Macaca mulatta: one gene and its partner. The protein of the gene in region 2 purifies or fractionates together with the protein of the main gene of each other region. This does not show direct contact. Links are inferred from orthologs where the notes say so. Each region holds a gene or a part of one and is shown on either strand. Other genes may lie near its edges. The genes, in order: TMEM30A and ATP11A.

What was found.
Region 1: the proteins of ATP11A (region 2) and TMEM30A purify together in Homo sapiens (co-immunoprecipitation; 4 studies listed by BioGRID and IntAct, with this or other methods). This does not show direct contact. The link is inferred for Macaca mulatta from reciprocal best matches to the Homo sapiens genes ATP11A and TMEM30A.

What each region holds. Positions count from the first base shown.
Region 1 is NC_133409.1:110,482,350-110,489,100, reverse strand, and holds the end of TMEM30A (cell cycle control protein 50A), read right to left. Parts: intron 6,359-6,751; coding exon 6,215-6,358; intron 5,854-6,214; coding exon 5,647-5,853; intron 3,171-5,646; coding exon 2,977-3,170; 3' UTR 1,730-2,976; downstream 1-1,729. UniProt on the Homo sapiens protein: Accessory component of a P4-ATPase flippase complex which catalyzes the hydrolysis of ATP coupled to the transport of aminophospholipids from the outer to the inner leaflet of various membranes and ensures the maintenance of asymmetric distribution of phospholipids.
Region 2 is NC_133422.1:106,942,633-106,949,935, reverse strand, and holds the start of ATP11A (phospholipid-transporting ATPase IH), read right to left. Parts: upstream 4,956-7,303; 5' UTR 4,517-4,955; coding exon 4,478-4,516; intron 1-4,477. Other genes in the region: uncharacterized protein LOC114673506, read left to right, coding at 4,960-5,082, 5,992-6,080. UniProt on the Homo sapiens protein: Catalytic component of a P4-ATPase flippase complex which catalyzes the hydrolysis of ATP coupled to the transport of aminophospholipids, phosphatidylserines (PS) and phosphatidylethanolamines (PE), from the outer to the inner leaflet of the plasma membrane.

The DNA of each region.
Region 1 (6,751 bases), on a different chromosome or scaffold from region 2:
CATGTTCACAAAGAACAAAACTTTACAGCTTAACCAACAAAAAAAGTGTCATACAATAATTCTAAGGCAATGCTTCTATGAAGACAGGAGAGGTAGCAGGCTGAACCACATTCACTGACCCTATCTCTCAGCTGCTCTTCCTCAGCAGTCAGGTTTTTCCTGTGTGCCCCACTTCATTATTTTCATCATCCTTACCTCTCTGTTTACTGGACATTCCCCTTGATCTAATACCAAACTTAGCCAGTCTAACTGTAACTCAGATGATAATATGACCACTTCCTGGTAAGAACAGATGGTTAATGTTGTCACAGTGATTAATAAATACAAATATGCATTAATTTAACAATGAATTACATTTCATCCCATCCAGGCATGAAGAAGTTAAAACCTGGACTCACTGACCCTGTGTTAAAATTTAGTGCTAAACATAAGCAACAACACTGGGGCGTTGTTATTTTATCAAGACACCTGAACATAGCAAAATTAATTTTGTTCATTTTTATTAACAGGACATACTAACCGAATATTACTTAATAAAATCAAGGTTACAAAGAAACTCACTAGCCAATAAACAAATGATATTCATTTGACTCTTCTCTTGGTTGAATGATTTTCTATTAATTAGTAGTACACAGCTATTTTTATCAATTTATGCTTAAACTGCCTTATGATTTCAATGACATTTCTTAGCTTTTACTTATTGAATAATTTCTTCAACTGGGAATATTTTCATAATTCAAAATGGTTCCTGAAAATTAATGCATCCTTCAATTAAGCTGGCTGCATTTAAAATGCAACATGATTCTTTGAAAGGTGACTATGACATTTGAGCATAAAGCCTATAAGAAAAAGAAATGTATTCCCTCCCCCCATGCTTCACAGAGACCATATGAATGTTCCATACTCTTCATATTTAGCAACAGGAGTTCCTTAGAGATCAAACAGCAGAAAATAGGAGGAACTTAGGCCATCAATGCACTTGTAAAACAGATAAAACTCCAAATGTATTTTAAGATTCTATCTTCTCCACAGATGAGAAAATGCTGAAAGGGCTCTTCAACTTTTCTTTACTGACATCCTCTCTGTGCCCCAATTAGAAAAAGAGTTGCAGGATGGTAGTCCTCCTTAAACAGCACAGACTCAATCTGGAAAGACTGGCGAAACCCCTCTCCCCCAACAATGTATCCCAGAAAATAAACTGCCAAGTGCAAGAGGGACAATTTTCAGAATAAATAACATTCTGAAGGACTGACAAAACAAAGACTATTTTTAGACAAAGAACACACCAAATACTCCAAAATTTCAGGATAACCATACATCAAGTACTTCGTGCAAGTAATATTTTTACCAGTTAAAAGTCATTATGAAATACACATTCTTTTAACTGAATTTCATATGTTATATAAAACTTGAAAAGTGTGGCACATTTCTACTATTAACCATTACATTGCTTTTTGTTTTTTAAAAAAAGTATATATTAATCAAAAGTATACATTACCCAGGCCTTTTGATTTAAAATATAACTGAAGGAAAATATAAACTCTGAATAAACAGGCATTCTTCTACACAAACATGAGTTATTTCAGTAAAAAAAAAACAACAACAACAATAATAAAGCAATTTCAATGTAATCAAGCCACCTCTGATTAATACATACATTTTCATGCATGTGGAAAAATTATTTTTAACTAGAACTTTAAGAATAAGTTCCATAGCAAACAAGTTACAGCATTTATTCAATAAGGAATATTAAAATAATTCCAGTTAGTAAAAAATAAAATAACTTCAACCATATACATATTATAATTTATCATGTACATACTCCAAAATCCCCATAATTTAATTAGGAAATTTACAGAACATCTTTTTAAAGTATGTCTTAGGAAAACCAACCACAACAATTGGTGCATTAACTAAAGAGAATGTGCATACACATTGCCATTTGACCTATATGCAAAAGTGGAATGAAATACATAGGAAATTAAGGTTACTGCTTTCAAAAATTTCTGGAATATTAGTACTTAAGTCAAAACACTTACCTGCAAAATAAAAACAGCCTGAGGTATTTCCAAAGCTGAAGTAATTTTCTGAATGTTAAATATCACAAGAATGAAAACAGTCTCCATTAAGCATTTACATGTGGTTTACAGTTGAGGCAGAAGATGAAGCTCTGCCAAGCAGTTTTCCCATTATCACCTGAATTCTTTCTTCCCTTACAAAGCATAAGCTTCAAGGGAAATGATTACATATAAAAACATTCCAAGTGAGTTGGGGTTCCTGACTGCAACATTTAACCAAATGGAAAGAGGAATTTTTTAATTCTCCTAAGCAGGACCTACCCAACCACTGCAGACAGGAGCATTAATTCTTATGCTAGATAAGGTAAGCATGTCCTTTGAAATCAAAGCTAAGCTTGACAAATAACTGTACTGGATAAACTGGATACATGAACCACCTCAACAAAGATGGTATTTTAAGCATTTATACACATGAAAACGATGAAGTATATTATTTAGATATGGTCTTTCTTCATCTTTCTCTGAATCCTGAAAGGTTAGCAAGTCGTTATACTCATACATCTTGTAATCCCTTTCTCCACAAAATACATACACATATATAGCATCATATGTCAATATAATATCATCAACACAGCATAAAGATTTAAGCAGTAGACACAAGTCACATGAAAGAGGCTCTATGCATCATGTGGCCTGTCCCAATAAAAAGCAAACATTAGAATGCCATTTCAGCAATTACAGTGTTGATATGATCAATATAGCTAATTTTTTTATACCCGTCATATATTTTCAGAAGTCATCCATAGGGAAGAAGCAAACAACAAAGACTGCTTTTTTTTTTAGAAAAGTTATGTGCCAACTTCAAAATGACATACTAACCAGACATCAGCATTCGAAAGCTAGGTTGAATAGGACTGGCCTTGATGCACATGCAGATGATTTGCTTTCATAATATAAATTAAATGGTAATGTCAGCTGTATTACTACTGTTTCTATATTTATGATTAATTACTAGCAGTACAACTCCCAGAAGGAAGGAGATGGATCCAACAGCGATGTAAGCAATCCCCAAAAATGGATTTTTTCCTCCCATCCACGAAATAGTGCTCAAGATCATCCGTTTTCGTCCATCAAAATAATGTACAGGGTAATCTGAAGAGGGTATAGGAAGATTTTTCCATCTCTGGTTACTTGATGTTTAAAATATAATTTTAAAAGTTGCCATTTAATTGCTGGTAATTCATTTGTGTAATTCTAGGATATACAGGTACCTTACTCCCATGTTCTAAATCACACACACACACAAAATATTATCTTGAAAGACTGATTTAGCAAATTAAATGTCAGTAGTAAAAGCCAAAATATTTTACCAAAACAAACAAAATGTAAAGGTTACGCAGTTTCTCAGGTGCTTTTGGTCTCATTACATGGAAGGGGCAAAAGGCCTCAAAGGAATGCAATGTGAAAAAAATAGTTCAAGTGAACAATGAAGTCCACACAAGGAGACTGACAGACCAGGAGAAAATGGAAAAAATCAGGGACTAGAAGTCTCTGTGAGCTCAAAGAACATGTAGCAAGAGTGTAGTTATGAGACTATGAAAAGGCTCTGAGCAAAAGGTCAAAAAGCATAACAAAGTTTTAACTTGCTGATTTAGAGCAATGGCAAAACTCACTCTGTGACACAGCTGATAGCTAACAGTGGAAGTGAAGGGTGGGCTGTTAAGGAGATTTAGGAAATAGGGCACCAGTATACTAGATGAATTATCTACATGGACCAGTTGTAGAATTTTGCAAGAGGTAAGGTAGCGAAGAAGCCAGAACCAAGTCTCCATGCAAAAAGTTTACAACTTTTTCAAAAGCATCTTTTGAATCTAGGGTTAGGCCCTATCTGTTTCTCTAGTTTCTTCAACTCTCCATCCCCACAGATGGGTCCCTATGGGTCCCTAACTCCCAATGGCAGGTTCGGTTCTGCTAACTTCTTAAACCAACCCTAAACTAAGGCAGGAATGATTTTGAGACCTCTAGCTAACCCAACATTCTGTGGGATACAGTATCAAATTGCCCATGCTAGTCTCTCTCTAGCATCCCAACCCTAAAGAAACAGGCTTCTGCCTTCATTCTAGAAGTCTTCAGTTCCCACCGTATGCCCAATTTTGAAAATTAACCCTTGATGTTTTGCAGGTCCAAATTCCGGTCTTATCAAGTCTTCTCAATCTGCCATATATCATGCATTCCTTTAGATAGTTCTTTCAAAGTTGGGACCCTGCTGCGGAATTCCTGTGTGGCAATTATCTATCAACTAAGAATTCCTCAGTGCTTCACAGACTTCCCTTCATTGTGCCCTAGGCTACAGGTTGCTAAATGTGCCCTTACTCTCTAGAGATTTTCTGGATGCTAATTTTAACAGAGCTGCTCTCTAGTTTGACTATCTCCTCAGGATAATGTTCTAGAAATCAGCACTTGAACTGGGTCTGTCTGTCCAAAACTGCTCCAATGTGGATTTAGTTTCAAAAACTTGGTCACTTTTAGCTTGCCATAGCAGGCCATATTTACTTGTGTATTCAGGTGCAATAGCAAGAGACTAGAATCCAAAAAAAAATATTTTTAAATTGGGTCTATTAATTTAACCATTTACTAACCCATTTTAAAACCAAAACCCACTTGGATTATGACTCATTTGGATTATGAAAATAAAAAATGCAAAGATCAGCAAACATTTAAGATTCTAGCATTGGGAGATCTCTTCACTCACAGTGTATGTAAAATATAGGCTCCAGATTAAAAGATGTAAAGACTTTGGTTAGAATAAAAGAAATTACTATTTCCCTCCTAATAAAGACTGCATCTATGCAGATATGGGTTGGTGTAACTGAGTGAACTAGCGGAGATGTAGCCTATGTTGGTAGCTGAGAGTAAAATTATGGCCTTTGGAGTCAACAGCCTGGTTATGAACCCCAACTCATTGTTATTACCTGTGTAAAGTCAGGTAAGTTACTTAAGTGCTCGATATTCCTGTGTTCTGGTCTATAATAGGGAGATATGCTGCTGCCTGAATTAAATAATGAGCAGAAAACACTCAGCACAGTGTTAACACATAGAGTGGAATAAATGTTATTTATCAGCACTGAATGTGAACTTATTAATGTGGAACAAAATAGCTAATAATAAAATGTTTTGAGTTTTGATACTACCAATAGATCAAAATTATGAACAATTACATTGATACAAATTAACACATCCATTGATTTTTAATATCTAAAAATATATATATTAAAACATCCCAGTACCACTCAACTCCCAATTTTAGGTATTCTCATTGGCCTTTACATTAGGCCCAATTACAATCTCCCTTTTAAAAATACCTAGCTTGTTAATAAATCAATCACCTACATTTTAAGTAATTTACCAAACAATATGCTTCAAACCCCAGTACCAAGTATATGCAAATTGAAAACATTACTAGAAGATATAAATTTTAAAATACATTCTCGCATATACCACACATACTTTTGTAAAAATGCAGATCCCAAAACTAAAGCCCAAGGTAACATGCCACATAACACATATAAGGTTGGAGTAGACTCCTTTCAAGCTCTATGAATCTGTATACCCAGCCAAAAAAGGATACTGTATGTGATATTCAAAGAGTATCGTCCAGCTGGTAATGTTGGGTGTAAATCACTTTTCCTTTCTATAAGACGATACAACTTGCGAAAAGTAGGTAATGCCGCAGTACGCATCCAAACAATAAAATCCTCATTTATGAATCCATTATTATCTGGGTCAGAATCCAGCATGTAAACTGGTTTAAGCCAGTTTACAGGCTTTGTTGTACCTTAAAAGGAGTGGGGACGGGATGAGGAGACAAAATATTACATTGTGAAATTAAAGTGGCAGAGAAACAAATAAATTTGGATAATAAATAGGGGTTTATTCAAAAGAAGCTTTGCTGCAATTCTAAAATATTATAGCTGAAATGCTTATAAGACACCACAGAAACTGAATTCATAATTAAAAGTATACATTTCCTTTAGAATTTTAGTACATTAGAACATTTACCTAACTTGGTATGAAGGTGAGGAAAGAAAAATTGTGTTTTTCAAAGCATAAACCTTAAGATTCTGAAGACAGAAAATTTTAAATACTTCATTAAAACTCCTAGTTTAATTTTTTAAGGGATATTAGTAATGTTTTACCTTTAAATCGTTCTTCCAGGTTGTCTCCTCCAGGGGGATTTCTGAATTTCACATTTTTATCTGTCCACCAAGCAATACCTTTCTTTTTCAAAGCGATAGGTACAGGATAAGAATCATTGCCAATAAGAAACAATTCTAATGTATCTAAACACAAGAAAAGGAAGACATTACTAAATATCTCTTGAAAACGCATAGCATCTGCTTAATTCTGTGAGAAATAAGGACCTGATATTTGCTTCCAAAAGTGGTTGTGACAGAGTAGGCATATGATTCACATTTGTTCTTTATTCCTATGTGGATTAACTATGGTAACTTTATAACGCTAGATGGACTTCTCTTCCCTTAACAGAGTTCTAATTCACTTACCCATAGGCTAGCTGACATGCACTAAGATCAAATGTTTTAACATTAACCCAACTATAATTGCAAGGTAAATCTACCTTTCCTTCCTTCCTTCCAATAATGCATCCCTAATTGCTTCTTGCTTATCCATTTATCCGTCTGCGCTGTCTAATACAACAGCCACTAGGCACACAG
Region 2 (7,303 bases):
GTTCTGCCCAGGCCGGGATGCTCAGTCTCACAGAGATCCAGGGCCGTTTTACAACAGCGTTGTAAAGCTTTCTGAATTCTACCTGAGCTCCACACCATGCTCAGTGTCAGGGTGCCGGTTTACCTCTCCTGGGACCCATGATGCCAGCAGGCTGGGACCCACGGGTAGCTGAGCAACAGAACTGGCAGGCCATAGGTTTGCTCTCTCCCCAGCCACCCCTACCCAGGGACTCAGCTATGTTAACAGCCAGGCATGACAAATGGACTGAGCGCTTCCCCATTCTTGGCTCTCCACCCAGATTACCTCACTCAGCCCTCACAATAGCTATGCAATGAGTACTGCTCTTACCCTCAGAGGAGAAAACTGAGGCAGAAGGAATTAAGCCACTTGCCCAAGGCCACATGGCTAAGAAGGGCAGGGAGGCTCCCACTCAGCATTCAGGCCACTGCCCAGAGAGTATCTAAGGAAAGTAAGCTTCCCGCTGAGGCTGCCCCGGTTTCTCTCGGAACTTAAACTACCTGAATTGGTGTTGCCCACTTTACAACTCTGAAGAGGAAATGGAACTAGCTCTCCATCCATGCTGTTAAAAAATACTCTTATTTGAGATGAGATTTGCTCTTGTTACCCAGGCTGGAGTGTAATGGTGCGATCTCAGCTCACTGCAACCTCCGCCTTCTGGGCTCAAGCATTTCTCCTGCCTCAGCCTTCTGAGTAGCTGGGATTACAGGCACCCACTACCACGCCTGGCTAATTTTCTGTATTTTTAGTAGAGACGGGGCTTCACCATGTTGGCCAGGTTGGTCTTGAACTCCTGACATCAGGTGATCCACCCGCCTCGGCCTCCCATAGTGCTAGGATTACAGGTGTGAGCCACCGTGCCCGGCCTAAAAGCGTTTTAAAAGCGTTTTAAAGCGTTTTAAAGCGTTACATCCTTTTAAAGCGTTACATCGGCCAGGCGCGGTGGCTCACGCCTGTAATCCCAGCACTTTGGGAGGCTGAGGCGGGCAGATCACAAGGTCAGGAGTTCGAGACCAGCCTGGCCAATATGGTGAAACCCCTTCTCCACTAAAAATACAAAAATTAACCGGGAGTGATGGCGGACGCCTGTAGTCCCAGCTACTCGGGAGGCTGAGGCAGGAGAATCGCTTGAACCTGGAAGGCGGAGGTTGTGGTGAGCCGAGATCGGGCCACTGCACTCCAGCCTGGGAGACAGAGCGAGACTCCATCTCAAAAAAAAAAATAAATAAATAAATAAATAAATAAAAAATAAAGTGTTACATCATGGAGGTCAAACTACCTCATGGCACAGGAACTACCCCATGACTCACATGCTACCCCACAGCACATACACTACTCCACAGTACATACGCCACTCCACGGCACACACATTACCCCTCGGCTCCCACAGCACATACACCACCCCATGGAATATACACTACCCCACAGCACAAACACTACTCCACAATATGTACACTACTCCATGGCACACATGGCACATACACCACTCCCGGCACGCAGGCTCTCTCCCCACCCCCACGACTCCCACAGCACCTACACCACCCCATAGTGCATACACCACCCCACGGCACATACACCACCCCACGGCACCACACGCTCTCCCCTGCGCCCCCCACGCACGTACATCACCCCATGGAGCATACAGCACCCCATACACACAAGCACCTCCTTATAGTATACAAACATGGCCCCATTTACAAATACAAAATATCTCTGCATGGCTCCTGTCCATCCAAACACCCAAACAACTAGTAACCCACAGGGTGGAGTACTCTGGCCTAATCGTTCATCTGTTCTCTCACTCATTTGCCTCTGCTATCTCTCTGGAGTTAACCCACAATAAAATGCCTACAGCAATGTTTTCCAAGGACTTCTTTATCTTTTAGCCACCCTCACACATCAGAAGGAGCTGGAAAGCTTTCTTAGTCCCAGGAATTGACTATGTGAACACCAAGAGGGAGTAGGGTCTGTTTATCTATCCTTTTTTATAAAGTAAGTCACGTAAGGAAACCATGAGGAAATATGAGTATTCAATCCCAGACTCCTTTTTCTGTAGCAAAAGGAAATATAATTTAGTCCCACATAGTGGACGATAACGAAATAACAAGAAAGCAGATCATGACTGTTTCTGGAAAAAGTCGAATTAGTTTAATACCATAGACATGAACTTAAAATTATAGAGATGAATGGTTTTGTGTGTAAATATGGGTGAGGTAGCCAGACGAATACACTGCAAAAAACACATGCGGAATGAGAAAAACAGAAATAATACTATCCCACAACTTGTATTTCCAAGATGTTATCAAATAACGTACATGCTGGAAAAGTTCACTAAAGAATATTGACCCCTTAGATTAAGAGAAAATGTGATGCCACTGGCGTAATAATCCAACAAAAGGGAATTAAAAATGTAAGCTACGCACTTATATAAATCTATATAACAGAAAACAGCTGAAGGCCTGGAGAAAGGAAGGGCGTCAAAGCATCAAAATTGGACGTCTGTCTGTCCCCCTCCCAGGATGAAGGGGTCAGGAACTGGCTGGGAAGGTGAGATTCTCCACAGGGTGGGCCGAGCATCCATCTCTCATTTCTATGGAAAGAGGCTGCACATTAGCACCACAATGTGACCCTCCTTTTTAACACTGAGTGTTAGAAGGGAACGGAATGAACTGGGAACACCGCGGGCACAGGTAAAGTGAATGTTAGTCCCTTCCCTCTTCCATTTCCCTCGGAGGAAACAAGGCAGGAAAATAAGTTATCTAGGGACCCACATTTCTAAGCGACACAACTGAGAACAGAAGCTTCCGCCCAACAAAGCACGTCTCTCACACAGCAGGTTACCCACAGTCACTGTGATTGGGTCTTCTATAACGTTACCACAGTGAAACACAGGTTTACCACTCACATTAGGATTTGAATTGGGGGCTGGAGCACCAGTGAAGGGGTAACACAAGGTTCCTGCAGCTAAGCCTTTCCAGATCTAGCATCGAAATCATCAGAATCACCAGGGGTGAGTTCTCTCCACTTAAGTAAAGCAGGCTGACCTTCCTAAGGCTTCCCCGACATCAGGAAACAATGTAAGGTGCACTCAAGTCCCCCTTGACTCTCCGAGGTTTTTGGTTAGTATATAAATCCGGGGGAAAGCATTGATCTGGCATCCTCCGCTGAAAAGAAACCTATCTTTGGCCAAGGTCTCCTATTTAAAGAAAGCTCATAAATATGAAAGGCTGCCTGAGGTAATTCCTATGCCGGGAAAGAACAAAGTTCCCATAATACTGCCCTCTCTAGTACCAAACCCGGTGCATGCGACTTCTCGAACCTGTGACTGACCACTGACCGCCAGCCTCTATGGAACAATGATGCCTCTTGTGCAAGACAGTGGCAGGAAACGCTGTGCTTGGGACAGTTTTCTTCCTCTTCTACACACACATATACACTTTTTTTTTTTTTAGACGGAGTCTCACTCTGTCACCCAGGTTGGAGTGCAGTGGCTCCATCTCGGCTCACTGCTGCAACCTCCGACTCCCGGGTTCAAGCGATTCTCCTGCCTCAGCCTCCTGAGTAGCTGGGATCACAGGCGTCCACCACCACGCCGGCTAATTTTTGTATTTTTTAGTAGAGACGGAGTTTCACCATGTTGGTCAGGCTGGTCTCAAACTCCTAACCTCATGATCCGCCCGCCTTGGCCTCCCAAAGTGCTGGGATTACAGGAGTGAGCCACCGCGCCCGGCCACACACCCCTTTTTACACCTAACGCCAGGGATTCCGGTTTCCCCTCCTCTGGTGTAAAATAAAATCAACTTTTCTCCTTCCGAGTCTTCCCTCCTGAGCTCTTCACTGGCTTATCACTGAAGGGGCAGATTCCGGAGGAACCCAAGAAGACCCGAACTTCTGATCTAATCGGTTACTTTAAGGTAAAAAATAAAAAGATTCCAACTCCGCTTCTGAATCCCCCGGGGTGTTAAAGAACAAACACATTTGCTAGCTTTTTCTGCAGAAGTGTAACGCTTCCTCCCAATCTCTTAATCTTCCCGCAGACACGGCTGCGCGGAAGCCGCATCTGAAGGTTCCTCCCCGGACCCGGGCCCCGGTGGGGTCGAAGTTGGCTCTCTCCGGGCGCCCGGTCCGCCGGGACGGCTCGAACCCCAGCCAGTCTCTCCGAGGAACCCCCAGGGCGCTGCGGGCGGGAAGGGGGCGCGAGGCGGCCGCGGCAGGAGAGCAGGTGGCGGCCTCAGGCGGGGGCCGTGCGCTGTGCCCACCTAGACCCCGTCGGAAGCCCCAGGGTCTCAACTCCGAGGCCCCTCCCCAGCATCCCGCCTGGCCCCGGGGGCGGTCAGCGTCCCAGACATGGGAGCCCTCCCACGATCCCGGGGCTGGACCGGCCACAGGGTCGGGGCTGCGGGGCCGCCCCGCGTCTGTCTGGTACCCGGGTCCCCCAGCCCGCGCCGGGAGCACTCACGTATCTGTGCACGAGCGTCCGCACGAGGCTGCAGTCCATGGCTCCTCCGGCCGCTCCCGCTCCGCCGCTCAGCGCCCCCGCGCCCGGCTCGGCGCGCCCATGGGCTCCGGGGTCCGAGTGCGGCCGCGCCCCCTGCTCCGGTCACGGCCTGGGCGCGCCGGGCGGTGCAGGGGGCGGCCGCGGCCCCTCCGCGCTCATGCCCGGCCCGGCCGGCGAATGCTGGGTCCGCGGCGCCGCGCGTCGGCTGCTGCTCCGCGGGCGGCGAGGCTGCTGCTCCGGGCCGCGCGCGAGCTCTGGCGCCTTCTCTCTCCCCGTCGGTCCGCCCGCTGGGTTGGGCTCGACTGAGGCACTCCGGCCGCAGCGGAGCCTGCGCTCTCCTCCTCCCGAGTCTCCTCCTCCCCGGCCCGCCGCCCTCTGGAGCCTCCGGGCCCCGCTGGCTCCTGCCCCTGCTCCCGGCGCGCACGTCACCGGCGCGAGTGAGCATGCGCCCCGCGGCCGCAGCCCCCGCCCGCCCCGCGCCCACACCCGCGCTCGCACCGGCGCGCCAGCCCTGCCCCCTCACGCCTCGGCCCGGGCCCCTCAGACCCTGGGGGCAGAGGGCAGAGGTCAGAGGCCGCGGGGAGGAACCCCTGTTGCTTCCGCCTCCCGGGGCGCAGGCGCGGGGCGCGGCGGGAAAGGGGCTCGGCACTGGGGGAACCCGGAGTCTCGGTCAGGGTACCAGGGCTTCCTTCCCGGGTTCCTGCGGGAAAACTTTTCTCCTCCTCCCGGAAGCCTCGATGGGGCAGTGAGATCGCGGGGCGAGGTGGAAGTGTGGGAGGGGGCGCGGGGAGAGAGCGGGAGTCCGGCCGGGTGGGAGATCTGAGCCGAGGCTGGGTTTCGCCCCGGAACGTGGCGCCGCCGACCCGCCGGCTTTTCCTGCTCTGCAGGTGGCTGCCCCGGTTCCGAAACCCGGTGGCTCCCAGGGCCCGGCCTCTGGCCCTCTGGCCCCGAAGCTGCGACAGCGGAAGACACTTAGGTGGCCTGAGGGGTTGGTGAACCACAGAGGAGTTCAGCTTCTCCTGGTCTCCAGCTCCCCGTGGCGTGTCCTTCATGCTGCTGGCTTTGAACTGGGCTGAGGAGTATTTGCCACACAAACACTACCATTTGCATCCCAGAGAATGCCTCTGTTTTCTCTAGGGTGACCTGGCCCGGGGAACAAGCACTTTGTTCTCTAAATCCACCCAGCCTTGACTTAATTGAGATACTTGGTTTCCAACTTCCTGTCTTACTGCCATAGATAATCACTGATGAAACCAAACAGACAACACCTTTTGGTGGCCTGTGGAGAACGCTGCCCCGTCTGGGTCTTAGGAACGCAGTTGAATATGAATGTTCTCCCGAGTGCTTGCGGAAAAGAAATGGTGTTAGCCACCTTTTAGACGAATAGAAATGAGTACTAGTGAACAATAATCGTAGTGACTGAACAGTAAACGGCTCCCACTTCTTGTCCAAATCACCGATTCTCCATTTTCCAGCCCGTCCTGCTGCAGCCTGCCCTGAGCTCCGGAAGCTGGTGGTGCCCCTCAGTGGATCTTCACCCACAGGAGCACCTGCTGCAGACCAGGTAGGAGAGAGGCAGGGGCCTGCTCCCCTCTCCTTCCCGCCTGCCCCTACATCCTCCAGTGTTGGTTTACCTCTGCGGCCAAGATTCTTCTTCCCGGGTGCCCGTTCCATTGCATAACTCCTCCAGGCTCTACGAACAGAACTTATCGCCTCCCCCGAGCCTCTTAGGGTGAAACATGTTGTCGGTCTGCCACTGTTTCTGGTCCCTAAATAGCAGCACCCTTTTGAAGGGTCCTTGAACCATGACCTCACCGCAACAAACAGTCCCTTCATCAAACTCCTTTCCAAATCCCCTCCTAAGAACACCTTCATTTTCCTGCAAGAACTCTGACTGCTGGAGCCGGATTTTGACTAAGCTTCTACCTTGTAAACTGTGACTGTGGGATTGGGGTGGAGGCGCAAACAGAGGTTGTATAAGGCACTGTATCAAGGCTGCCTGCCTGTCAGGAGTGTCTGCTTTATTCAGTGGTAAATGCGAATTATTTTTCATTCTGTAGCGAATACTACAGGGCAGCAGCCATGCCCTCTTTATCCTTGCTGGCTCAGATATCCACCCTCTGTGTGGCTGAGGGTAAACTGTGTCTCTTTTGAGAAAATCTTGGTAGCTCCATTTCTCTTTCCAACGATTGGCTTCAAACAAGCTCAAGTCAATGAGTCCCAACAGGAAGCCTGCTGGGGGTTGTCTGGCCAAGGTTTTCTCACTCCTACAGGAACATAAACAGGAAATGCTCCTTTTTCCCTGGCGGATGTTGCGTTCCCTGTCTGGATGCAATGCCTGGTGCTCCACAGCCCTTTGCACCCACGAGAGAAGGTGGCCGGAAGAGCATCTTCACTCTGGCCACCTGGGAAGATGAGAAGAGCAGGGGTCCTCGGCACAATCAGACAATTCACCAAAACCCTGCTGCCCTCACCTGGAATTTCCTGCTATGAGAGATGTCTTCATTTAAACCACATGAGCTGGATTTTCTAACACATGTCAGCATCTTCGTGGTAAATCTAAGGAAAAAAAAATCAGAACTATTAAAAAACAAAGTCCAACTCACCCCGTGCTATGGTTTGAAAGTGTCCTCCCAAATTCACATGTAGAAATCTAATCCCAAATACCTAATCACTAATCCCAAATATCAAGAGGTGGAGGCCTTGGGAGGTGATTAGGAATGGGATTAGTGCCCTTTAAAACAGGTTTTTGGGAGCCTGCTTGCCCTTTCTGCCATATGAAGACGC